5 linked regions of the Macaca mulatta genome follow. The protein of the gene in region 5 interacts with the protein of the main gene of each other region in a pairwise test. Links are inferred from orthologs where the notes say so. Each region holds a gene or a part of one and is shown on either strand. Other genes may lie near its edges.

The links. The genes of interacting proteins can lie anywhere in the genome.
Region 1: the proteins of CREB3 (region 5) and VTI1B interact in a two-hybrid assay, tested with the Homo sapiens proteins (2 studies listed by BioGRID and IntAct). The two-hybrid records come from large-scale screens. The link is inferred for Macaca mulatta from reciprocal best matches to the Homo sapiens genes CREB3 and VTI1B.
Region 2: the proteins of CREB3 (region 5) and APOA2 interact in a two-hybrid assay, tested with the Homo sapiens proteins (3 studies listed by BioGRID and IntAct). The link is inferred for Macaca mulatta from reciprocal best matches to the Homo sapiens genes CREB3 and APOA2.
Region 3: the proteins of CREB3 (region 5) and TMEM140 interact in a two-hybrid assay, tested with the Homo sapiens proteins (2 studies listed by BioGRID and IntAct). The two-hybrid records come from large-scale screens. The link is inferred for Macaca mulatta from reciprocal best matches to the Homo sapiens genes CREB3 and TMEM140.
Region 4: the proteins of CREB3 (region 5) and MARCHF5 interact in a two-hybrid assay, tested with the Homo sapiens proteins (2 studies listed by BioGRID and IntAct). The two-hybrid records come from large-scale screens. The link is inferred for Macaca mulatta from reciprocal best matches to the Homo sapiens genes CREB3 and MARCHF5.

The regions. Positions count from the first base shown.
Region 1 is NC_133412.1:140,848,641-140,853,459, reverse strand, and holds the start of VTI1B (vesicle transport through interaction with t-SNAREs homolog 1B), read left to right. Parts: upstream 1-1,765; 5' UTR 1,766-1,877; coding exon 1,878-1,992; intron 1,993-4,819. UniProt on the Homo sapiens protein: V-SNARE that mediates vesicle transport pathways through interactions with t-SNAREs on the target membrane. These interactions are proposed to mediate aspects of the specificity of vesicle trafficking and to promote fusion of the lipid bilayers.
Region 2 is NC_133406.1:105,659,852-105,663,681, forward strand, and holds APOA2 (apolipoprotein A-II), read left to right. Parts: upstream 1-1,715; 5' UTR 1,716-1,798; intron 1,799-1,968; 5' UTR 1,969-1,992; coding exon 1,993-2,044; intron 2,045-2,317; coding exon 2,318-2,450; intron 2,451-2,845; coding exon 2,846-2,963; 3' UTR 2,964-3,076; downstream 3,077-3,830. UniProt on the Homo sapiens protein: May stabilize HDL (high density lipoprotein) structure by its association with lipids, and affect the HDL metabolism.
Region 3 is NC_133408.1:174,969,746-174,974,575, reverse strand, and holds the start of TMEM140 (transmembrane protein 140), read right to left. Parts: upstream 3,055-4,830; 5' UTR 2,874-3,054; intron 1-2,873.
Region 4 is NC_133414.1:104,261,576-104,266,420, reverse strand, and holds the start of MARCHF5 (E3 ubiquitin-protein ligase MARCHF5), read right to left. Parts: upstream 3,055-4,845; 5' UTR 2,922-3,054; coding exon 2,887-2,921; intron 1-2,886. UniProt on the Homo sapiens protein: Mitochondrial E3 ubiquitin-protein ligase that plays a crucial role in the control of mitochondrial morphology by acting as a positive regulator of mitochondrial fission and as an important regulator of immune response.
Region 5 is NC_133420.1:63,961,383-63,966,291, reverse strand, and holds the start of CREB3 (cyclic AMP-responsive element-binding protein 3), read left to right. Parts: upstream 1-1,560; 5' UTR 1,561-1,940; coding exon 1,941-2,069; intron 2,070-2,162; coding exon 2,163-2,313; intron 2,314-2,384; coding exon 2,385-2,452; intron 2,453-2,566; coding exon 2,567-2,656; intron 2,657-4,287; coding exon 4,288-4,394; intron 4,395-4,484; coding exon 4,485-4,553; intron 4,554-4,909. UniProt on the Homo sapiens protein: Endoplasmic reticulum (ER)-bound sequence-specific transcription factor that directly binds DNA and activates transcription. Plays a role in the unfolded protein response (UPR), promoting cell survival versus ER stress-induced apoptotic cell death.

The sequences.
Region 1 (4,819 bases), on a different chromosome or scaffold from region 5:
TGGGACTTACACAGTATACTGACAGTTACCTCAGACTTGGTCACGTCTGTGCTCAGTGCATATTAAGAGCTCAACCAAAGTGTGCTGAATCAACAGCCAATGAACTTGATCTAACAAAAATGAGGGCCCAGGAGATATAAATTAGCAAAGCATTTTCTCCTGAGCATTCATACATCTTTTAATATTTGTAGGCAGTTTAAAATTGAGCTCCCAAGCAAACATTTGAGAACAGACACCTTGAGCAAACCGTGAAATCGGTGAAAATAAGAATTTATTTTAATTTTTTTGAGATAGGATCTTGCTTTGTCACCCAGGCTGGAGTGCAGTGGCATGATCTCAGCTCACTGCAACCACTACCTCCCGGGTTCAGGTGATTCTCCTGCCTTAGCCTCCCGAGTAGCTGGGATTACAGGCGCCCACCACCACGCTCGGCTAATTTTTGTGATTTTAGCAGAGATGGGGGTTTCACCGTGTTGGCTAGGCTGGTCTCGAACTCCTGACTTCAAGTAATCCGCCCGCGTCGGCCTCCCAAAGTGCTGGGATGATGCTTGAGCCACCATGCCCGACCTGAAGACCGGCATTTATACCCATGGAGTGCAGGAAAGGACCTTGTAATTGTTAACAAGTGACACTTAGTGGCAGATGAGACCTAATGAAGCCAGGCCCACCTTCCACACCAGATTATAAATTCCCTCGGAGCAGAGAGTAAATGTTTTATTCACCAACATGCCCAGATCCCTCGCAATGCCTACGCTTGACAAACACCTGTTGTGAACAAGTGCACGAGGCAGCCTAGCAGCTAGAGTATTTCGAGGTCATCCTAACTGGGTTCCACTTTTGAATTTTTGTTTTTTGGGTTTGTTTGGAGACAAGGTCACCCTCCACTTGGGAGCAAAGTCTCCCAAGCTGGAGTGCAGTGGTGGGAACTCTGCAATCTCAACCTTGTGGACTCAAGTAATCCTCCTGCTTCAGCCTCCGGGGTAGCTGGGGCCAGAAGTGCGCGCCACCTTGCCCGGCTCCTATTTTGGGTTTCCGGTAGTGCTCTCGCTATTGTGACCAGGCTGGTCTCGAACTACTGGGTTCAAGCAATCCTCCCACCTCGGCCTCCCAAAGTACTGGGATTACAGACGCGAGCCACTCGCCCGGCCAAGTTCCACTTCTGAAAGCTTGGGGAGCAGCTGGGCCTTCCAGGAAAAGTGCTCCACCTCCCGACTGCAGGCAGAGCCCCCGGCCCGGCTCTTTCCAGGGCCTAAAGCTAACATTCGGTCAAGACGCGAAATGAGGAATTCGGGTCAGGGTGGCAAAGCAAAGCGCGATGACAGTGAGGACGACGTCTAGACGCAAACACACATCAAATCGGGCCGAAGCCCGCTGTCGCCTGGCGGGCTAAACCTGGCACCCCGGGCAACGCGCGACTCCGGCACCAGACGCTCTCCGAGTCAAACTACATCCCCCGGCGTGCACTGCAGCGCCCGCCCCTGGCCGGCCGGCGGGGCCTGGGAGGAAGGCGGCCGAGCTGCCCGTCCCGCAGGTCCCCTAGGGCCCTTTCTCTGCGGCCTTTCCCCACCCCGGACCGGGCACTTCTCGGGCTCTGCGACTACCATTCGCCCCGCTCGCTCCCTCAGGAGTCGCCTAGGCCGCGCAGTCTGCCGCCTTCCCGTCAGGCCTTCGCGCCGGCGCTCCCGCAATCACGGGCTAGAGAGGGTGGGCGTTCCGGCTCGGGAGGACCCTTCTGCGGCCCCGGAAGAGCCTCGTCCTGGGCAGCGGTGGTGCGGCGGTCGCCGTTATGGCCACGGGACTGGGCGGCTGACCGCCGGGCTAGGAGAGGGCCCAGAGCCCCGAATCTGGGTGGCCGCTGCTCGAGCGCGTCCTGCGCCATGGCCGCCTCCGCCGCCTCCTCGGAGCATTTCGAGAAGCTGCACGAGATCTTCCGCGGCCTCCATGAAGACCTACAAGGGGTGCCCGAGCGGCTGCTGGGGACTGCTGGGACCGGTGAGGCGCGGGTGGGCCACGCCGTGGGGAGCGCGGCCCCGCGCGCTTTGGAATTTTCCCCCACCTTCCTCCCAGACCCGGGCCCGCGTCTCCTTCCTCCGCGTCCTCAGACACGCCCCCTAGGGCTGGCTGGGTCGCAACCCCGGGTCTCCCTGCCACTGAGAGTGAATTGGGGACGCGCCCAGGGACGCGGGGTTCAGTTCCCTGGGTTCCTTCTATGGCCTTCCACATTTTCTCGTTTTTTTCCACTGCGGCAAACAGAGCAGAGGGGCTTTTACATCTGCGGTCCTGTAATGTAGCGTGGGTTTCTTTCGTAGCTGTTTTTGTTTGTTTTATGCATTTAGAAGCACTAGTGTCAAGACAGGTCTAGTTTTCACCAGACTGACAGAGGATCTGTAGCACAGAAAAAGGGTTAAAAACCCAAAAGAGTCATAATTTGGGGCGTTGGTATATACCTGTTATTGGAGGGTAGAGAGCTGGCCTTTAAAACCGTATGGTGGCGTTTAGATGTGGTCTTGTTTTGAACGTTTTTACTGCTGAGACTATTTACTACCCCTTCATTTCATGGTTCAGGTTGCTACAAGTTTTGTCTGGAGGAGCTAGAGTTTTCTGGCCCTAGATCCATAGGAAGACCTGCTATATATAGTTCTTGGCCTCCGGATATATAGAACTTGATGGCAAGGACAAAACTTTGTTTTATTGCTTTTATTTAAGGATCAGAGCTTGAGTGTTTGCTCAACGAATTACTCAAGGTCATAGGAATTGAATGACTCTGGTGAGAATGAAATGCATGTATTTAATATATATTTATTGTGAGGCTGCTGTGTGCCAGGCACTGTTCTAGGTGCTGGTGAATATTGCAAATTACAGTGAAAAAGACATGCACGTCCCCATTCTAGTGGGTAGGTGATAAACAATATATAACTATTAAGCGGCAGTGTTAAAGAATACAGGAAAATAAATCAGAGTAAAGGAATAGGGGATGGGACTTCAGTTTTATTTTATTATTATTATTATTATTATTATTTTTGAGACAGAGTCTTACTCTGTCATCCAGTCTGGAGTGCAGTGGTACGATCTCGGCTCACTGCAGCCTCCACTTCCCAGATTGAAGCAATTCTCCTGCCTCAGCCTCTGGAGTAACTGGGATTACAGTTGCGCCACCACCCCTGGCTAATTTTTTTTGTATTTTTAGTAGAGACGGGGTTTCACCATGTTGGCCAGGTTGGTCTCTAACTCCTGACCTCAAGCGATCCGCTTTCCTCGGGACTTCAGTTTTAAATAGGGCGGTTGTGAAAGTCCTCTGTGAGGAGATGGCATTTGAACTGAGACTTGAATGAAGAGAGGGAGTAAACCAGAAATCTGGGAGAAGTGAGTGTCAGAAGGAGGGAATAGCACTGCAAATGCCCTTAAGCGGAAATGAGCTTGGTGTGTTCAACGAAGAGCAGGAAGTTCCATGTGTTTGGGATGAAGTGAGCAAAGGAGAGAGGTAGGCAGGGCCAGATCATGTAGGGCCTTGTGGACCATGGTGAAAGACTTGTGCCTTTTTCTAAATATGATGGGATGCAGTTAAAATATATTGTGCAGAACCATTGTGGGATCTGATTTATGTGATTGAAAAGTTGACTGCAGGCAGGGCACGGTGACTCACACCTGTAATTCCAGTGCTTGGGGAAGCAGAGGCGGGCAGATCACTTGAGGTCAGGAGTTCAAGACCAGCCTGGCCAACATAGTGAAACCCTATCTCTACTAAAAATACAAAAATTAGCCAGGCATGGTGTCAGTTGCCTGTAGTCCCAGCTACTCAGGAAGCTGAGGCAGGAGAATTGCTTGAACCCAGGAGGCAGAGGTTGCAGTGAGCCGAGATCCTGCCGCTGCACTCTAGTCTGGGCAACAGAGCAAGACTCTGTCTCAGAAAAAAAAAAAAAAAGGAAAAGAAAAGACTGCAGGCTAGGCGTGGTGGCTCACACCTGTAATCCCAGCACTTGGGGAAGCTGAGTTAGGAGTATTGCTGTATTGAATGATTTTGAGAACAGCCTGGGCAACGTGGTGAAACGCCATCTCTACAAAAAATACAAAAATTAGCCAGGCATTGTGGTGCGTGCCTGTAGTCCCAGCTCCTGGGGAGGCTGAAGTGGGAGGATCACTTGCGCCCTGGAGCTGGAGGTTGCAGTGAGCCAAGATCGCACCACTGCACTCTAACCTGGATGACAGAGCAAGACTCTGTCTAAAAAAAAAAAAAGTAGACTGCATTTTCAACCTGGCACTGAGTTAATTTTTGCATTGCCCATTTCTATAAGGCTAAATAATGCAAAAGAACATTGCTTGAAAAATAGAAAATTGAATTCATTATTACTATGGTTTGAATGTCCCCTCTAAAACTTATGTTGAAATTTATTTGCCATTTTAATCGTGTTAAGAGGTGGGACCCATAAGAAATGATTAGACCATGAGGGCTCCATCCTCAGGGATTGGATTGTTATCCTGAGAGTGGGTTGGTTGCTGAGAGAGTGGGTTAGTTCAGCCCTCTCCTGCTTGCCTGCTCTCTTGATCTGTTGCTCTTCCACCTTCTGCCATAGGGTGACACATGGGTAGCAAGAAGGCCCTTGAAAGAATCAGGCCCCTCAGCCTTGGGCTTCCCAGCCTCCGGAACTCTGAGAAATACATTTCTTTTCTTTATAAATTACCCAGACTCAGCTATTCTGTTATAGCAACATAAAGCTAAGATAGTTACATTCACGTTTGTTGTCTCCCCAGCCTTTTTCTCCATCCTGCAAAGAGGACAGTCGGAAATATGTGATTTTTTTTTCTTTTTTTTGAGACAGAG
Region 2 (3,830 bases), on a different chromosome or scaffold from region 5:
GTGTGAGAGTTTGGCGCAGAGCAGTAAGTTCTAGCAGAACTATTCGCTGAAAGAGCTGCTCTCTGTATTTAACCTTTCCTTCCCTGAGTCCCCAGGCAGAGTTGGCAAATAAAATCTAGGAATATGGAGCCTGGCCCCCAAATGCACTCCATCCCAGGACCGGGGCAAGCCAAAGGGCTGACCTCAAGCACTAAGCGCTCCACAGGGGAATAATTGAAGATGGAGTAAGATTTCTTGGTCTTGGAGGGTGAAGGGTGGGAGGAGGGAGAAGATCAGGAAAAATAACTAATGGATATTAGGCTTAATACCTGGGTGATGAAATAATCTGTACAACAAATCCGCATGACACAAATTTATGTATGTAACAAACCTGCACATATAGGCTGGGTGCGGTGGCTCACGCCTGTAATCCTAGCACTTTGGGAGGCCGAGGTGGGCAGATCACCTGAGGTCGGGAGTTCAAGACCAGCCTGACCAACATGGAGAAACCCCGTCTCTACTGAAAGTACAAAATTACCCAGGCGTGGTGTTGTATGCCTGTAATCCCAGCTACTTGGGAGGCTGAGGCAGGAGAATCGCTTGAACCCAGGAGACAGAGGTCGCAGTGAGCCAAGATCATGTCATTGCACTGCAGCCTGAGCAACAAGAGCAAAACTCCGTCTCAGGAAAACAAACAAACAAAAAAACCTGCACATATACTTCTGAATTTAAAACAAAAGTTAAAAAACAAAGATTTCTTGGTCTTTGGTCACTACCTCCCTCATTAGCTCTGCGCCTCCACTCTCACCTCTCAGGAATGTTCCATATACTCAGGGAGTATGCTTGGGGGGGCAAAAGGGTGAAAGATACAAATGCTTCTGATACCTATTTAACTGATTTCACCCAAATGCTTTGAACCTGAGAATGTACCTATCCCCCTCCCCTACCCCCAACAGGAGTGAGACAAGGGCCAGGGCTATTGCCCCTGCTGACTCAGTATTGGCTGATCACTGCCTAGAACTGATAAGATGATCAAATGACCAGGCACCTTCAACCTTTACCCTGGCAGAAGCCTCTTGTTCACCCCTTTTCCTGCCAGAGCCCTCCATTGGGAGGGGATGGGCGGAAGCTGTTTTCTGAATTTGTTTTACTGGGGGTAGGGTATGTTCACTGATCAGCATCCAGGTCATTCTGGGCTCTCCTGTTTTCTCCCCATCTCATTACACATTAACTCAAAAATGGACAAAATCATTTACACTTGCCTCTTACCCGACCCTCATTTTCGTAACCCCCATAGCCCTCAACCCTGTCCCTGATTTCAATTCCTTTCTCCTTTCTTCTGCTCCCCAATATCTCTCTGCCAAATTGCAATAAAGTGGGATAAGGTTGAGAGATGAGATCTACCCACAATGGAATAAAGATACCATGAGCTTTCCACGGTATGATGGGTTGATGGTATCCCATGGGTTGATATATCAGAGCTTTCCAGAGAAGTAACTTGGAATCCTGCTTCCTGCTGCATTCAAGTCCAAGGACCTCAGATCTCAAAAGAATGAACCTCAAATATACCTGAAGTGTACCCTCTTAGCCTCCACTAAGGGCTGTACCCCCTGCCTCTCACCCCGTCACCATGAGTCTTCCATGTGCTTGTCCTCTCCTCCCCCATCTGTCCAACTTGTTTATCCTAACATAATCCCTGTCCCACTGGACCCATCATAGTTCCTGTCACCTGACAGGGGGTGGGTAAACAGACAGGTATATAGCCCCTACCTCTCCAGCCAGGGCAGGCACAGACGCCAAGGACAGAGACGCTGACTAGGTAAGATAAAGAGGCAAGAGGTGTGAGCAGCATCCAAAGAGGCTTGGGCTTCAGTTGTGGAGAGGGAGAGAGCCAGGTTGAAATGGGCAGCAGGTAGGGAGATCTCTGGGGAGGAGCTGAAGCCCATTTGGCTTCAGTGTCCCCCCCAACCCCCACCACCCTCTTCCTAGGCCGCTTTCCCCACTGTCACCAACATGAAGCTGCTCGCAGCAACTGTGCTGCTCCTCACCATCTGCAGCCTTGAAGGTGGGTGTGATATGGAGAGGGGGCCAAAAGGGAGAATGTGCTGGTGGTTATAGCTACCTATCTGCCTATGCTCTTATATCCAGGTCTGGCAACTAGAGGGCTCAAAAGGAAGATCATTCCCTATCTAAAGCCCAGAAAGCCCATCCAAAGATCTGACTGGACACCTTTTTGGGGAGGGGGCGGAGAGCTGGGGTGGGTACTGGCAGAGGTATGGCAAGAGGCCAAGATTCGTTGCTGTGGACCCAGCTGAAAAGAGTGTGTGTGTGTGTGCAGGAGCTTTGGTTCGGAGACAGGCAGAGGAGCCAAGTGTGGAGAGCCTGGTTTCTCAGTACTTCCAGACGGTGACTGACTATGGCAAGGACCTGATGGAGAAGGTCAAGAGCCCAGAGCTTCAGGCCCAGGCCAAGTAAGTCTAAGGGCAAGGAGTTCAGGGGCTGTGGAACTGTGGAAAGGAAGAAGGGAAGATGAGAGGCCCCACAGAAGACTGAACCCAGGGGTGGGGATTAGGGCAGATTAGGCTTAAATTGGAGAGAAAAAGTCCTTCGTTGCCCAAAGATCCCACACGTTTCTTAGATAGAGAGGAACAGCAAGAACTGGGCCTTGAATTTCAGTCTCTAGGGTCTGTTCCTCTACCCAGCAAAGGTCTTGGCTCTACTCCCACCTAGGGGCTTTGCCATGCGATGGACCAGGCACTAGAGTTTGGGGACCTGAGTCAGTCTGCTCTGACCTCCCACCATGACCGAGGCCCCTGCCAGTGCCTAGGGTCCCTCAAATTAAACTCTAATCCCCTCACCTATCCAGGGCTTACTTTGAAAAGTCAAAGGAGCAGCTGACACCTCTGGTCAAGAAGGCTGGAACGGATCTGGTTAACTTCTTGAGCTATTTCGTGGAACTTAGAACACAACCTGCCACCCAGTGAGGTGTCCAGACCATTGTCTTCCAACCCCAGCTGGCCTCTAGAACACCCACTGGCCAGGCCTGGAGCTCCTCTCCCTACCCACTCTTTGCTACAATAAATGCTGAATGAATCCAGCTCTGAGCCTGGTATGTTTGGGGGACTGGGAAAAGTAGGGGAGTAGGAGAGGAGAAGAGGAAGGAAAAGGAAAACTCTGCTTCTAGAAGGAGAGAATTTTGGGTGTGGAGGGGTGAATAAAAGATTGAAGACACAACTGATGAAAATGACAGGGGGAGGGTGCCATGATTCTTCTCCAAACCCAAAGAGTCTCCTACGGGCTGGGCATGACTCTGCAAGAGAACACTAAAGAGGCTTTGCGTTGCACATGGAACTAGGAGAGGAAGGAAGAATTCACAAACTGAATCCCTCGATTTCTGGATGTCATAGAAAATGAGGGTACCCTGGTGGGGTGCAGTGGCTCACGCCTGTAATCTCTGCACTTTGGTAGGCCGAGGCAGGTGGATCACTTGAGATCAGGAGTTCCAGATGAGCCTGGCCAACATGGTAAAACCCCGTCTCTACTGAAAATACAAAAATTAGCCAGGTGTGGTAGCACATGCCTGTAATCCCAGCTACTTGGGAGGCTGAGGCAGGAGAATCACTTGAACCCAGGAGGCAGAGGTTGCAGTGAGCTGAGATCATGCCACTGCACTCCAGCCTGGGTGACAGAGTGAGACTCCGTCTCAAAAAAAAAAAAAAAAAAAAAGAAGAAGAAGAAAAGAAAAAAAGAAAACGAGGGTACCCCTCAGAATTTCCTCTTAGTCATTCTATGAAGAAAAGAAAGCTTCCCGAGGTATCAACCAAGACCCTCGTTTCCCTTCTGAGCCAGGG
Region 3 (4,830 bases), on a different chromosome or scaffold from region 5:
GTAAATAAAACAGCTTTATCAGACGAAATAGGACTATACCATGAGACTGTAACATAAAGTCAGAAGCATGAGTCCAGGCACCCGGTTAACAAGCCACTGAGATAGCTGTTTAAATGATTCCATTAATATTAGTTAACTTGCTATTTGTGCAATTGTTTTGTTGATTATTAGCTCTCACTAGCAGATAATCCAAGTGGGTACAAAGGTTACATAAAGTTTAGAGGGAGAAGAAGATCCTTAAAAATGAGAAAATGTCTACAAATGACCCATCCTAATTTGTTTGTTTGAGGCAGAGTCTCGCTCTGTCGCCCAGGGTGGAGTGCAGTGGCACCATCTTGGTTCACTGCAATCTCTGCCTTCCGGGTTCAAGCAATTCACCTGCCTCAGCCTCCCGCCACCACGCCTAGCTAATCTCATTTGGTTTCTGTTGGCAGGAGTCCATGGTCCAGTTTATGGGCAGCTAAGATTCACAAGATTCAGCGTTTGAGAATCAGTAGTACCAGAAACTAGTGATTGCCTTGCCTTTGGCTGTCAATGGTTAGTTTTCCTGCTCCAGCCCTCTCTTCTGCAATTACAAAGGCAATTTGCCACCCACTTCGACTGATGGGGTCAGCATTTCATCTTGTAACTCTATTAGTGAAACATTTTGGATGACCGCCTGAATCAGAGGCCCCGGGGAATCAGTGCCAGGACAAACCAGGTGCCTGCTCTCATTGAGCTTGTACTCTAGTTCGGAAGGCAAACACCAAACTATTTTTTAAAAGATAATTATACTTTTTGAAAAGCTTTGGGAAGGAAATAAACAGGGTGAGTGAGGGAGAGAAACTGGCAGGAGGAAGTGATGACTAGATTATAGGGTCGGGGAAAGCCTGTCTTCAGAAGAGACATTTGTTTTGCGTCCTGAAAGCGTTCTTCATTAACTAATGTTGAAGCAATTGATTAGCTAACTAGAAAAGAGAAATAAAACTATTTTAGGTCCTCATCTCACTCCACATACCGAAATAAATTTCACGTGGATCCAAGAGTGAAAGGTAAAACCATAAAAAGAATCAAAGATCTGGAAAAAAGGATATATTTGATTTATGAGTGAAAAATAAAATTTGGAACTTAAGAGCAAATGGAAACTACAAAGAAAGAATTGCACAGGTTTAACTATTCTAAAATCTAGATTTCTCTTCACCAAAAACAACATAAATATAATTAAAAATCAATGAGCATATGGAAAATACCTATCACAACTATGAAATGACTAATGTACTTAACGTTTAAAATGTTTATGCAAACTGTGAAAAAACATTAAACCTCATTAAAAATGGACAAATATGAAGAGATAATTCACAAAGAATGCAAAGTAGTTAACTAACATGAAAAAAAAATTCTGTAACTTTTTTAAAGATACGCCAAATAAAGTAACCTGAGTTTCCCTGTCAACACTGTAGGTAAAAACACTTGATGATACCAAAAGTCTACGGTAAAACTGGCATTCTCACACAGTGATGGTGGATGTGAACATCTGTACAAACTTTCAGGGAGGCAGATTGGCAATACACATTAAAAACCCTAAAAACAGTCATATCTCTTTGGCCCACTTTTATAAATCTATCCTAAGATAGCAATCAGAAATCCAGTCGATAATTTATACATAGGAATGTTCAGCACAGCATTAGTTTTGGCACAAAATGGGAAGCGGCTTGAAAGTCCAATATTAGAAGTCAACTATGACGTATCAAGGATAAAATACTATGCATCTTTTAGAAAAAGCAGGTATAAAATCACTCTACATAGTGTGCCTACATCCATATAAAGAGGCATAGGAGAAAGAGACTAAAGAAGTATTTGAAAATGTTAATGTTAGCTGTGGTAGCTCTGGGTAGTCACATTACAGGCAATTGTTCTTCTCTATTTGCATTAAAATATTTTTAGAATTATGGGCTACATTTATAAAAAAATAAATTTATAAAACAGACAATCAAAGCAACCTTAGTAATTAGATAAAGCAGGGACTAAGCTGGAAAGAAAGTTGAGAAAGGGGAATATGTGCAAGATTGAAAAAATATCTCATGGTCCGAGTCTCAGACCTGAGATTTTGGGGAAGGTGGTATGGGAAGTTGATATTGAAAAATGCTCTTCAGTTATTATGAGGGAAGAAAAGAAGGAAATATGTATCTTTTCCCTCTTCCAAAGGAGCCTTTGATTTTATAGGCAAAGAAGCATAGTGGAAGTTATTAGCGAAACTAAGCCCACATTTTAAAAAAATCTCTTAAAATATGCACCAAGAGAACTAAAATACCACCATAGATTTCCAGTGGGGCATGAGAAGCAATCTGGTCTAATAACTAATATAAGATCTAAACATCTCTTAGGTCCTAATCTTTGAGGCAAGAACACAAGTTTTTCTGTTGATATGAATTTTCGGTGTGTATTTTAAAGTTTTATGATGTGTTCATAACTACCTTTGAATAGTGGTTTAGTTAGTGGTGGTCGGTGACCTGCTTTTGTTTGCCTGTTTCTGATGAACAGTGTGTCGCACCAGCCACAGCTGTGTCCTTGTACACACTGCGTGCAAGACTCTGCTGTGCGTAGTCAGCCCTGCATCATTTCTAACCAGTTACACTGGCCTTACTTTCATCATCTTTGAGGCCAGAGCTACACATGTTGATGCTGCAGAGTGGAAGGAAGGAGAGCAGAGAGTAAAGGGGGTAGATTATGTAGATTATACAGACGTGAGGGAGGGAAGGTCAGAGATACGGAACAACCAGTGAGTTCCCCTGTGCGGATTGCCAGAACGTGAAATATCTGAGAAGAAAACAAAATTGTCTTACAAGGTAGTGGACGTCTGGGTAAGCTGTGATGCTTGCAGGATCAGTACTTACAGAAAGCAGGTGAAGAGCCCATAGGAACAATGAAAAGGAGAAGCAGGAAATTAGGGTTGGTTATTTGAATCTTCCTTCTCGCTGGCTTTCTAATGTCAGACTCCAGAAAGGAGGAGTGGAAGGGAAATGGCAGGAGGATGCAGTCCTGAGCTGGTGCCCTCTCGCATTCACAGTTGTGCCTAGTAAACAGCTCTCTGAACTTTGGTACATTTGTTCTGACTGATGTCACTATCAGCTGATTTCACTTTCGTTTCTTAACTTGTCAGTGACCCATGACTTTTCAGAAATGAGGTATGTAAACAACTTTTTACTGTGCTTCATGACATACTCTTTACTCACACTGTAGCTGGCAAACCAACTGATTTAAAGAGCCAGGAAATGTCTTGATTATATCACACAATAATTCCAGAAAGGGAAGTAGCCGAAGAACTCTCGAAGCTCCCAGTGATTTAAACTGCAAGATAAACACAACCTGGATTTTTATTCAGAAGAAACCCCTCAGGATCATCTGGTCCAAGCTCTCAGCCAATGTGGCAGTCAGGACCCAGGTCACCTCCTACTTATTCTCTTGGGAAGCAGCTATGCCGTCTGTCCCCCCATCCCCTTTCAGAGATCAGTTTTGTAATGATGACTGGGCTTCTCTGGACACAAAATTTTGTGTCCTGAGCATTCTTACTAGGGTATTTAGGCCCATGTTGGAGCAGCTGGAACATCTATTTTATTTCAAAATAAGAGCAGAACAAAGCTTTTATTTTTGTAAGCATTGGGGCTTTTGGCCAGAGTTTAAAAATTGCTTCCGTTGCTCACATGACCAACTGGAAATTTCAACTGTGGGTTAAACTTGGTTACATGAGTCCGCTACCTAGTGCTATTGCTGAATCCTTCAGCGTTTCTCTTCTGCTTCCCTGCCCTTCCTCCAAAGGAGGAGTTCTTTGAACTGCTACATTGCCCTCCCCCTGCCCCTAGTTCTTTTAAACTCAAACTCTAGAAAGAGGTGATGGGATCCAGGTGGAAAGAAGAACAGAGGCTTTGAGATCAGAGAGTTCTGCTACATACTAGCAAATTATTTAATCTCTTTGAGCATCAACTTCTTATCTGTAAAATGGAAACAGTACCTACTTTGCATGGTTGCTCTGGGGACTGGAAATAATATAAGCGCTTAGTACAATACTGGGAACATAGTAGTGGTAGCTATTATTATGAAAAATGGAATTTCTGTATATTTAGTCTAGCCTTTAAGACAGAGAAAATTAACTTTTAGATACCAATATAAAGTAGTTACTCTGAAAACTCAATACTGATGAGTGAAGTAATATAGAAGAGATAGAAACATATTTATATTTATGAAATTTATTTAAGGTTACCATGTACCTAGTTTTCAAAGAGTCAAATAGTTTTTCAAAACTTGTATGAAAATCGGCAGTCCCACACTCTCCCTGTCTTCTTCTTCAGAGGCAAGCACTTTCACCTGTGCTCATTCTTTAGGCATTTACCTCAGTTCTCTAAATAACATGCTTGGATTGATACTTCTTGATTTTTCAGTTTCAGGCATAATCTACTGACTCCCAACCATAGAAGGTGAAGATTTAGCTTTCTTCTTCCCAACTGCGTGTTCCAGAAATATGCTTCCTCTCTTCCTCCTCTATCCAAATTGGTTATAGTTTTGTTTAAATCAATATTCAGTGTTTACAATATTGTAATATGCATAGGTATACTTTATTTTATTGTGCATCTCTTTGTGGATCCTGCATCTTTTACAAATTGAGGATTTGTTGCATCCCTGCATCGAGCAAGACTATTGGCACCATTTTTTCAATAGCCTTTGCTCACTTCATGTCCCAGTGTCACATTTTGGTAACTTTTGCAACATTTCAAACTTTTTCATTATTATTATATTGGTTATGGTGATCTTTGATGTTACTATTGTGATTGTTTTGCGGTGCCACGAACCGCACCC
Region 4 (4,845 bases), on a different chromosome or scaffold from region 5:
CCCAGATGAAGAAAACTTTAAACATAAAGTAGATGGGGGAAAAACGGCCAAACGGGTTTACATTAGTCTTAAGTGCCTTCTATTGGGCTAACACAGAGTGTTTTGTTGTTTTACAGAGATGTATGTTTTCATTTGCTGTAGCCCTGTGAAGTAGGGTTCCCATTTTATAAATGATCATATACATAGTGTCAGAATCTAAATTCAAAGTCACATAGCTAGTAAGTGGCAAAATTTGAATTTCATGCTTTCTATCTCTGAGCCCAAGCTTTAATCACTATGCCTTATTATCTCTTATCTTGAAAGATATCACTGCCTTAGGACTTAGGGCAGTAGGTTTCAGCCATATCTGAAACATTTAAAAAGTTTTAAAATATAGATGCCCAAGCTCTACCCTACAGAAATTTTTGATCTTACTGGTCTTAGACAGGATCCAGCATCCATGCATATTTTGAAATGTTCCCCAGGTAATTCTAACATGGAAACAGGTTGCCAACTACTAATCTAGACAATAAAGGTCTTTGAAAGTCATGTTAAAAATCTACTTTAAGATATGTCAAAAGAGTACAAAGATGAAAGTAAGCCAGTGTCATAGTCACCTATTTCAGTAAATGGCAGCCAGAATCTTCACATTTCTGTTGAGGTTTAAATGCCTCACTAGCTTTTTTTTTTTTGAGATGGAGTTTTGCTCTGTCACCCAGGCTGGAGTGCAATGGTGCAATCTCGGCTCACTGCAACCTCCGTCTCCCAGGTTCAAGCAATTCTCATGCCTCAGCCTCCTGTTGGAACTACAGGCCCATGCCACCATGCCTGCCTAATTTTTTTTTTTTTTTCCCGTAGAGACAGGGTTTTCACCATGTTGGCTAGGCTGGTCTCGAACGCCTGACCTCAAGTAATCTGCCCGCCTTGGCTTCCCAAAGTGCTGGGATTGCAGGGGTAAGCCACTGTGCCCAGCCTCATTCTTTGGCTTCTTACTTTTATGGAAATCTCCAAAGAGCATATGAAAAGCCAGGTCAGCTTTTGGACATAAGAACTTTTCTAGGCCGGGCGCGATAGCTCATGCTTGACGACACAGCACTTTGGGAGGCTAGGCGGGAGGATCACTTGGATCACTTGAGCCCAGGAGTTTGAGACCAGCAGGGGCTACATGGCAAAACTCCGGCTCTATAAAAATACAAAAAATTAGCTGGGTATGGTGGTATGTGCTGTGGTCCCAGCTACTAGGGAGGCTGAGGTAGGAGGATCACCTGAGCCCGGGAGGCAGGGGTTGCAGTGAGCTGAGATCAGACCACTGCCACTGCCACTGCATTCCAGTCTGGGCAACAGAGACCCTGTCTCAAAAAAAGAAGAAAAAAAGTCACTATGTAAAAATGAAAGGAGGCCCTCAGAGGAAAAAATTAATTACAAAATACCCTGCATCAAAACAGGGTTTCAACAGAACAGAACTGGCAGTGGCAGGTGGTCTCCTCTGGGCATATTTTAATTTGCCAATTTACAATGAAAGGAAAACCTGGTAAATTATCAGACCCCTAGACAACTGGGGAAACTGACAAATAACTTTGTGCGTCAGTTCATACAGCAAATACTTACTGATTACCTACTGAGTACCAGGCTCTGTTCTGGGATTCAAGATAAATAGTGAGTAAGTTTCTGCCTTCCAAGAGCTTATAAACCACACACATACATAAAAGGGTGGTCAATACAATTGTCAGAATGTTGACCTGAAACAAGGGCTGGATGAATCACCAGTTACCTCAACTGAAAAAAATTAGTGACATAATTTCTATCAACTGAGATGGCTCAAAATTCTAAGCTCCAAGAAAATGTCTGTCACTCTGGAAGGATGTGTACACTTGGGTCACTTGTGTTCTGGGTGTGGCAGACCCAAACAGCATTTAACTGGGTATAAACTCAAGGGAGGGCCTTCATTTAACACCTTACAGTTGGAATTTTACTGAGTACAAAGAGTTGGTACCACCTGCTGAAATGGGTGGCAAGTGATGTCTGCTGAGAATTGTAAGCAACCACAAACATTATGAATTAGCTTGTACAACTTGCTATGCCAGAAAGTAAGACTCAGCTGGGGGGAAATGTGGATCTAGAGTCTCCCAAAACTCATGGTAGAACCCACGGACTAGAATTTCAACAGCAGAGGGCGGTGCACCCGACTTCACAAAGAGTTTTACAGACTGGGGCCCCCCAAGAATGGGCAACTGGACTCCTGTACGAGCTGAAACGTTTTCAATGAACCCAACGATCGCCAAGTACACTAAGTGTTCAGCATTGGACTCATTTGGCTGTTTTCCATAACCTCTACTTTGGTCTGACCGTTAAAGCTCCCTTGCGGATACTCTGACCTTACAGTTCGGAGGTGGGGACGGGATGGGGCGGGGGGAGGGTGGTGCGGGCTCAGGGAAAGGGGAGAGAACGAAATCAGCCTATCAGGCTTTCTAAAAGAATGTTTATCATTGGTTCTCAGACAGAGACTTAAAATTGTAAGGGGGTCATTCTCCTGAAAGATAACCCGGTTCTTCTTGCCAGTGACATCGCTGACACTTTACAAGTTGGGGAGGGAGGAAGGGGGAGGCGAGGAGGGTAAGGAAAACTAATTTTGTGGATTAACATGGGTCCCTCTCACGTCAAAACGGGGTTCCAAAGAAACCAGACGCCACTCCTTAGCTAAGTTTCACCCAAAGTCTACGACCCAGGCCGCTCGTTCTGTCCTCCCCAAGTCTAGACTCCAAACTTTCTGCCCCTCTCACGGCCCCCCGGCCGTGGAACTCCTCCCGGCACGCCGAGTTCTGCTCACCAAGAGCCTCGAGGGCGGGCGCGGGCAGGGCCAGAGCGAGGGTCGGCGGCTCCCGGTCCCCCCCCAACAGCTGCCCGTACCTGTCCAGCATCTGCTGTAAGGCTTGGTCCGGCATCTTCCGCGGAGCCGGCGCACTCGGCCCTCCCCAGTGGACCCGCTCAAGGCCAGGCCCAGGGACAATAGCACTGAGAGACAGCGGAGTAGGCCGCAGTCCGGCGGCAGCCGCGAACCAGTCACCCAGCTTCCCGGGGCAGCTGCGCTAGCCGGGCGGCGGCGGTGCGGGGCCTGCGGGCGTCCGGTGGAGGCGGCGGAGAACGAGGAGGAGGAGCCTGAGGCGGGGAGGCGGCGATCGCGGCCCGGGTTCCTGTCCGTCGGCCCGAGGTTCCGGTCCATGGACCGCGGGCGCCGAGTTGCTGCCGGCGGAGGAGCTACCTTTGTGAGGTAAGAGTCACCGCCTCCGTGCGCGCCGGGGTTACGACGCAGGGCGGCCCAAAGCAGCCTGGGAGATGTAGTCCTCGGACCGTCCCTGCTTAGAGGCTGCACAGCCTGCCCGGACCAACGCCTCCGCGCCCGCCGCCGTCCGGCCGGCGCCCTCCCGTTTCCTTCCTCCAGGGGCAAAAAATGTCTTTCGGGCCGCTTTCCAGGAAGCAGCAGGATGCGCCGCTCCACTGTCAGTAGCAACAAGGTCAGCCCTCCCTGCCTGTTTCTTTTTGCCTCCGCTCTAGCCCTCAGGTGGGACCGAGCCAGGTGAGGGGAGGGGGCTGAAGGGCCATTTCTCATCAGGGTCCCCAGCCCCGGCCGTGGCGTCAGGGCGGGCAGTGGCGGCATTGGGGGTGGCAGTAACTCCTTCCGAAGCCCCCGGCGCTGCAGCCAGCCTCTCCTGCGGCAGAGCCCATTTTGGGGGAATTACACCACCCCCGCAAGGGGTCGGCTGCTTTGGTGCGTGAGGTTTTTCTTGAGGGGGCGGGCAAGTCGGGACTGCCTGGACCAGACGGCTTCCACCCGAGTCTCTCAGTGTGTGTTTGGGGCTGGGGAGTGGGGGGAAGGAAAGATGATTCTCTCCCTCTCCAGGAACCTTAATGTGCTTGGGCTTTCCAGGGCTCGCCGACAGTCTCCAAATGGAACACGTTGGTGAATAAACAGCTCTTGCTTACTCAGCTGTGGGTTGTCAGGGACGTTTGTTTCTCTCTGCTGCTGGTCACTGTTAACCGTTTGTAGTCGCGTTGACACCTTAAAGCAGGTGGATTGGGAGTGGCGGGGGTGAGGGGGAATCAAAAAGGAGAAATCATCAATCACTCCTTGGGTCAGCTTCTGACGTTCGAGGGATAGCTTTGGCGGGAGGAAAGAGCTGTTGGCTCAAATGAATGCGTTTTTTGGACGACCTGTGGCATTTTCTCTAGGGTTGTGACTGGTAGGACGCTGGTAGTTTTCCCTTGATTGTGTCTAATTTCTGCTGCAAGATGTTTGATTTTTTAAAAAATGAAAATGTGTTTTTAAAGCTCTTTTTAAATGTAGAGTTTTACAATCAACTTTTTATTATCTGTTCAAAATTTACGAAGTATATTTGAACTAGAGCGTTCATTGCTGGGAAAAAACAAACCCTCAAAAATGTGACCAGAAGTTTACTTGGCCTCCAATTTTTGAAATATGCTTTTGAGAAACAGCACCCCCCCACCACACACACACACACACACACACACACACACACACACGCCTCCTAGCGAAAGAAAATGAGTAGTATAATCGGGATGTCTAATATTTTATATATATTTGTATTATATATATTACATAATATATAATGTAATATATAATATAACATATATATTATGTAATATATACATATGATATTATATGATATGTATTATATATATATTTTTGTAGAGACGTGGTTTCACCTTGTCGCCTTGTTGCCCAGGCTGGTCTTGGAACGCCTGGGCTCAAGCGATCCACCCGCATCAGTCTCCCAAAATGTTGGGATTACAGGCGTGAGTCACCGCATGTGGCCAGTGTCTAATATTTTATTTAATTAATTTATTTTG
Region 5 (4,909 bases):
GGGGATTCAGTTATTTCCTTCTCCCGTGGCAACAGTGATTCCTTGGTCAGCTTCCCCCATAGTCAACAGCTCCTTCTTCCCTAGGCAGTCTCCAACTTGTGACTAGGCCTTGTACATCCTGGGTCCCTATTTCCCACCTATGTTGTATGTAAACAACATAGTCCAGAATCTCTGTCCCCTAACTGTGGTGGCCACAGCAAGGGCCTTAGGCTTAGAGAATGGAATAAAGATGCTGGAATCCCAGATGCCTGCAATAAGCCAGAACACTAGCCTGAAATTAGTTTGTTATCTCTCTGGGTGAAAAGAAGCCCCTGTAACTACACAGGAATAAAGGACTTCCCTACAAAAGAAGGGCATTTACCTACTGCCAACCTCTTAAATTTCATCTGCTCAAGGCCAACTATGCTAGCCTCAATTACAACCCCTAAAGTTGCCCCAAATTCCTAACATTAACCCCACCTCTAATTTGTTTCCTGATTCCCACTACCGGCTTGGACATTCATCCCTTTCCCAGCAGAGACTCATATCCAATCCCTGATCCCTGATACTGATCTAAGTTTTACCTTTAGCACCAAATCGCCTGATGTTAACCCTAAATGTTGACCCCTAAGCCTAAAGTTCATTTGTAACTTGATTCCTAACTCACGCTTTCACTGTTTATCCTTAATACCGACCATGTCAACATTCTTTAATCCCTCAAACAGGCTCTAACCTGATTCCTGTTGTTGACCCTTAACCCGACCCTGAACTCAAATTATGACGTATGATGGCCATCCCAGCAAACAAAATAATGACCTTAATCTAAACCTTACCTACCTAAAACGGACCTGACTCACACTACTAACTCTTAAGTTTTAACCCCAGCTTTTAACTCCTATAGCGACCCTTGATTCCTAAACGGACCCCACCTAATCCCCAACTCACCCAAAGCTTTCCTACCCACATGGCCGCTATCAGCTAACACCAAAGCCCGTCCCCGTCCTGCGCCCCGCTGCTACCCGACTCCTCACGCTCCCCAAAGCCTATCCCAGGCAGAGGACTGCCCCCAGGAGAGGCCTGTCTCCCCTAAGACGGCCTACTTCACGATGAGCCCAAGTTGAGATGCGCTGGACGCTGACCTCTCCAACTAACAGGACCCGAACCGGACACGCAGGAGAGGCAGGGCCCCGCCCGCCCCCGGGGCCAGGCTCCGCGGCCCCACCCTAAGGCCCCCGCCCGGCCCGGTCTGGCCTACCTGCGCTGCCCGGCTCTGCGCCCCGCCTGCCGGCCCGCCGGCCCGCTGCCCTGCCGCTTCTCGGGTCGCCCTCGGGCTCCGGCCTCGCCCTCCCTTCGACACTCTCTCGGCCACTTCCGTCCTGGGAACGTCCCCCACCCGCGGGCGGCGCCCTGGGGCAGCGCTCTATGGTCGCGGGGGGCAGGCAGGAAGCTGCTCTGGCCGCGTTCTCGATGCTCGGGGGCCGCCAAAGGCCGGCAGCCCCTCCCTGGCAGGAAGCGAGGGTGCGGCGCAATCCGGAGAGAACGCCAAGACGACGCCCGAGTTCCCTTTCAGGCCAGAACTCTTCCTTTTTCTAGCTTGGGGGAGAAGGCGGAGCCGGAGCCCCGGAACCCCCGCCCTCGGGGTGCGAGGCGGCAGCAGGGCCGTCCCCTACATTTGCATAGCCCCTGGGACGTGGCGCGGCACCCAGGCCTCTTCTCAGTTGGAGGGAACTCCAAGTCCCACAGTGCCACGGGGTGGGGTGCGTCACTTTCGCTGCGTTGGAGGCTGAGGAGAATTGAGCCTGGGAGGCGGGTCCGGAGAGGGCTACGGAAAGCCCCCGGCCGGGAAGCCCGGCCGTAGAGGGACAGTGGATAGGTGCCCGAGGCCTACAGCTGGCCTGGGGCTCGTGTCTGGGCTTCGGACGTTGGGGCCCGGTAGCCCACCCTTTCCGTAGTTGTCCCAAATGGAGCTGGAATTGGACGCTGGTGACCAAGACCTACTGGGCTTCCTGCTAGAGGAAAGTGGAGATTTGAGGACGGCGCCCGATGAGTCCGTGAGGGCCCCACTGGACTGGGAGCTGCCGCTTTCTGAGGTGCGTTGGGGTTCTGACTGGGGAAAGCGTGGGATGTCCATGAGGTCAGGGGATGGTGATAGGTCAAGGCCTGTTCACTGGAACCCTGCGCAGGTACCGAGCGACTGGGAGGTAGATGATTTGCTGAGCTCCCTGCTGAGTCCCCCAGCGTCGTCGTTGAACGTTCTCAGCAACTCCAACCCCTGCCTTGTCCACCATGACCACACCTACTCCCTCCCACGAGAACCTGTCTCTATGGATCTAGGTGAGTCTGAAATAAGTTTGGGGGGAGGACAGGGTTCATGGGCCTGGCTATTCATACGTTCCCTTTTGCAGAGAGTGAGAGCTGTAGAAAAGAGGGGACCCAGATGACTCCACAGCATATGGAGGAGCTGGCAGAGCAGGTACTTGACTTGATTTTCAGGATGATTACTCTCACATTCCTCAGGTGGGGGCAGGATTCCCCATTCCTCTGTGACATCCCCATGCAACTGCCGCCCACTTTCTGGTTACCCTAGGATATTGTTAGGCTGGTACTGACAGATGAGGAGAAGAGTCTATTGGAGAAGGAGGGGCTTATTCTGCCTGAGACACTTCCTCTCACTAAGGTAAGACTCTCGTTAGTTGAGCAAAGGCTGAAAAGGGATTAAAAGTCTCAAGTAGGCCAATTCTGTTAACTTTATATCAATAACTTTAAAAAAGGATTGAGGTGAGAAACTTAGCAGATTTATTGCTAATAGGAAGTTGAGGCAGGTACCCAATATGCTAGATGCAAGGCAGATCCTCATTTTCGTTGGGCTTACACAAATTTTGGTGTTCTGTTAAAAAACAAACAAAAAAAACCCTCAAAATTATCAGTGCAACATTAGTATTGGGCCTTGGAAAGGACTGTGTAAGTGAAGGGCCTTGACACTTCATTGGCTTCATAGTAATCCACCTCTTGCTGAATGGTAGAACTGTTTAGAGAGTTCAACACGATTGGACTAAGCAGTACATGAATAAATGCAAAATCCTTAGTTTCCAGTTTTAAGCAATCAGTGGCAACTTCACAAGCAGAGTACTGGGATACTATGATGAAATCAGTGCTCATTAATAGAAAAGTTCCAGGAATTTTTTTTTTTTTTTGACAAGGTCTTGTTCTGTTGCACAGGCTGGAGTGCAGTGATGTGATCATGGCACACTGCAGCCTTGAATTTCTGGGCTTAGGTGATTCTCCCACCTCAGCCTCCTGAGTAGCTGAGACTACAGGTGCACACCACCCTGCCTGGCAAATTTTTTTTTTGGTGTTTTTAGTAGAGATGGGGTTTTGCCTTGTTGCCAGGCTGGTCTTGAACGCCTGTGCTCAAGTGATCTACCCACCTTGGCCTCCAAAAGTAAAGAATTTTAATTCCTTCAAAGTACAAGATGAGTCAGCAGTGCGATGTGGCTACTAGGAAAGTTAATGGGATTTGGAAACTGTAGCAAGAGTTATTGTCTCCACAAGTCACTATCTTGCTTTCCTTTATACTGGCTAGAGCACATCTTTGACAGATACTAAGAAGATGCAGTCTATCCTAAGAAGATGAGTTAAAATTTTTGTCTAAGCTGTTTTTTTCTTGAACTTTTTTTCTCTGAGGAAATGTCAAATGCCTGAAAATAGCTAAACAGGGTTCATTCTATTTGGCCCCAGAGATACTAGGTAAGTCCAACGTATAGAAATTATAAGGAGACAGCTGTTGGTTCAGGATAAGGAAGTTTTTGTTTGAAGACAGATTCTTGCTTTACTGCCCAGGTTGGAGAATAGTGGTGAGATCATGGCTCACTACAGCTTTGACCTCTCAGGCTCAAGCGATTGTCCTTCCTCAGCCTCCTGAGGAGCAGGGACCACAGGCATGTGCCACCACACCCGGCTAATTTATTTTTAGTAGAGACAAGGTCTCACTGTGTTGCTCAGGCTGGTCTCAAACTCCTGGGCTCAAGCGGTCCTCCTGCCTTAGCTCCCCAAAGTGTTGGGATTACAGGCATGAGCCATGTCACTTGAATATTGCCTGACCAATTTTTTTTTTTAATAGTTTAAAATGGTCTGGCTTGTTAGGGTTAACACATGGTCCGTGGAGGCATTCAGAAAGAATGTGAATGCCTATTGGTCAGGGAAGCTGTAGAAGGGATTTCTGTATTGGAAAGAGATGGATCTCAGTTGCCTTTCAACTTCTTGTTCTAGAGTCCCTCTAATGATACCCCTTTCCTTGTTTCCTTTCAGATGGAGGAACAAATTCTGAAACGTGTGCGGAGGAAGATTCGAAATAAAAGATCTGCTCAAGAGAGCCGCAGGAAAAAGAAGGTGTATGTTGGGGGTTTAGAGAGCAGGTATGAAAGGGAGAGGGACTCAGTTTTAAGTGTTAGGTTTTTGAAGGGAGGACACAGGCCATATCCCCATATCTTTGTTATTTCCCCCAGGGTCTTGAAATACACAGCCCAGAATATGGAGCTTCAGAACAAAGTACAGCTTCTGGAGGAACAGAATTTGTAAGTATCCCTCCAAACCATTCCCTTCCTACGCTCCTCATTTAATGTTTTCTCACTCTTTCCCCTGCCCTACACTTGATTTCTAACAGGGTGGCTGCCTTCACTAGGTCTCTGATTCTAAGAAGCTCACAGTAGTGGGGAATATATTTATAAGTAACTGAGAATAAGCTAAGTACCTAGAAAAAGAAAGGGGGTAAGAAAGACCTCATGGGCTTTCATAGGATTCTGGGGTTGGGTTGGGAAAGCATTCTAGGCAGAGAGAAAGCATCCTAGGCAAGAGGATTAGCCCAGCATAGTCCTCTTGGGCTGGAACACATGTGAGCTGGGACAGAAGGTAGAGAACGTAGAGAATGCCC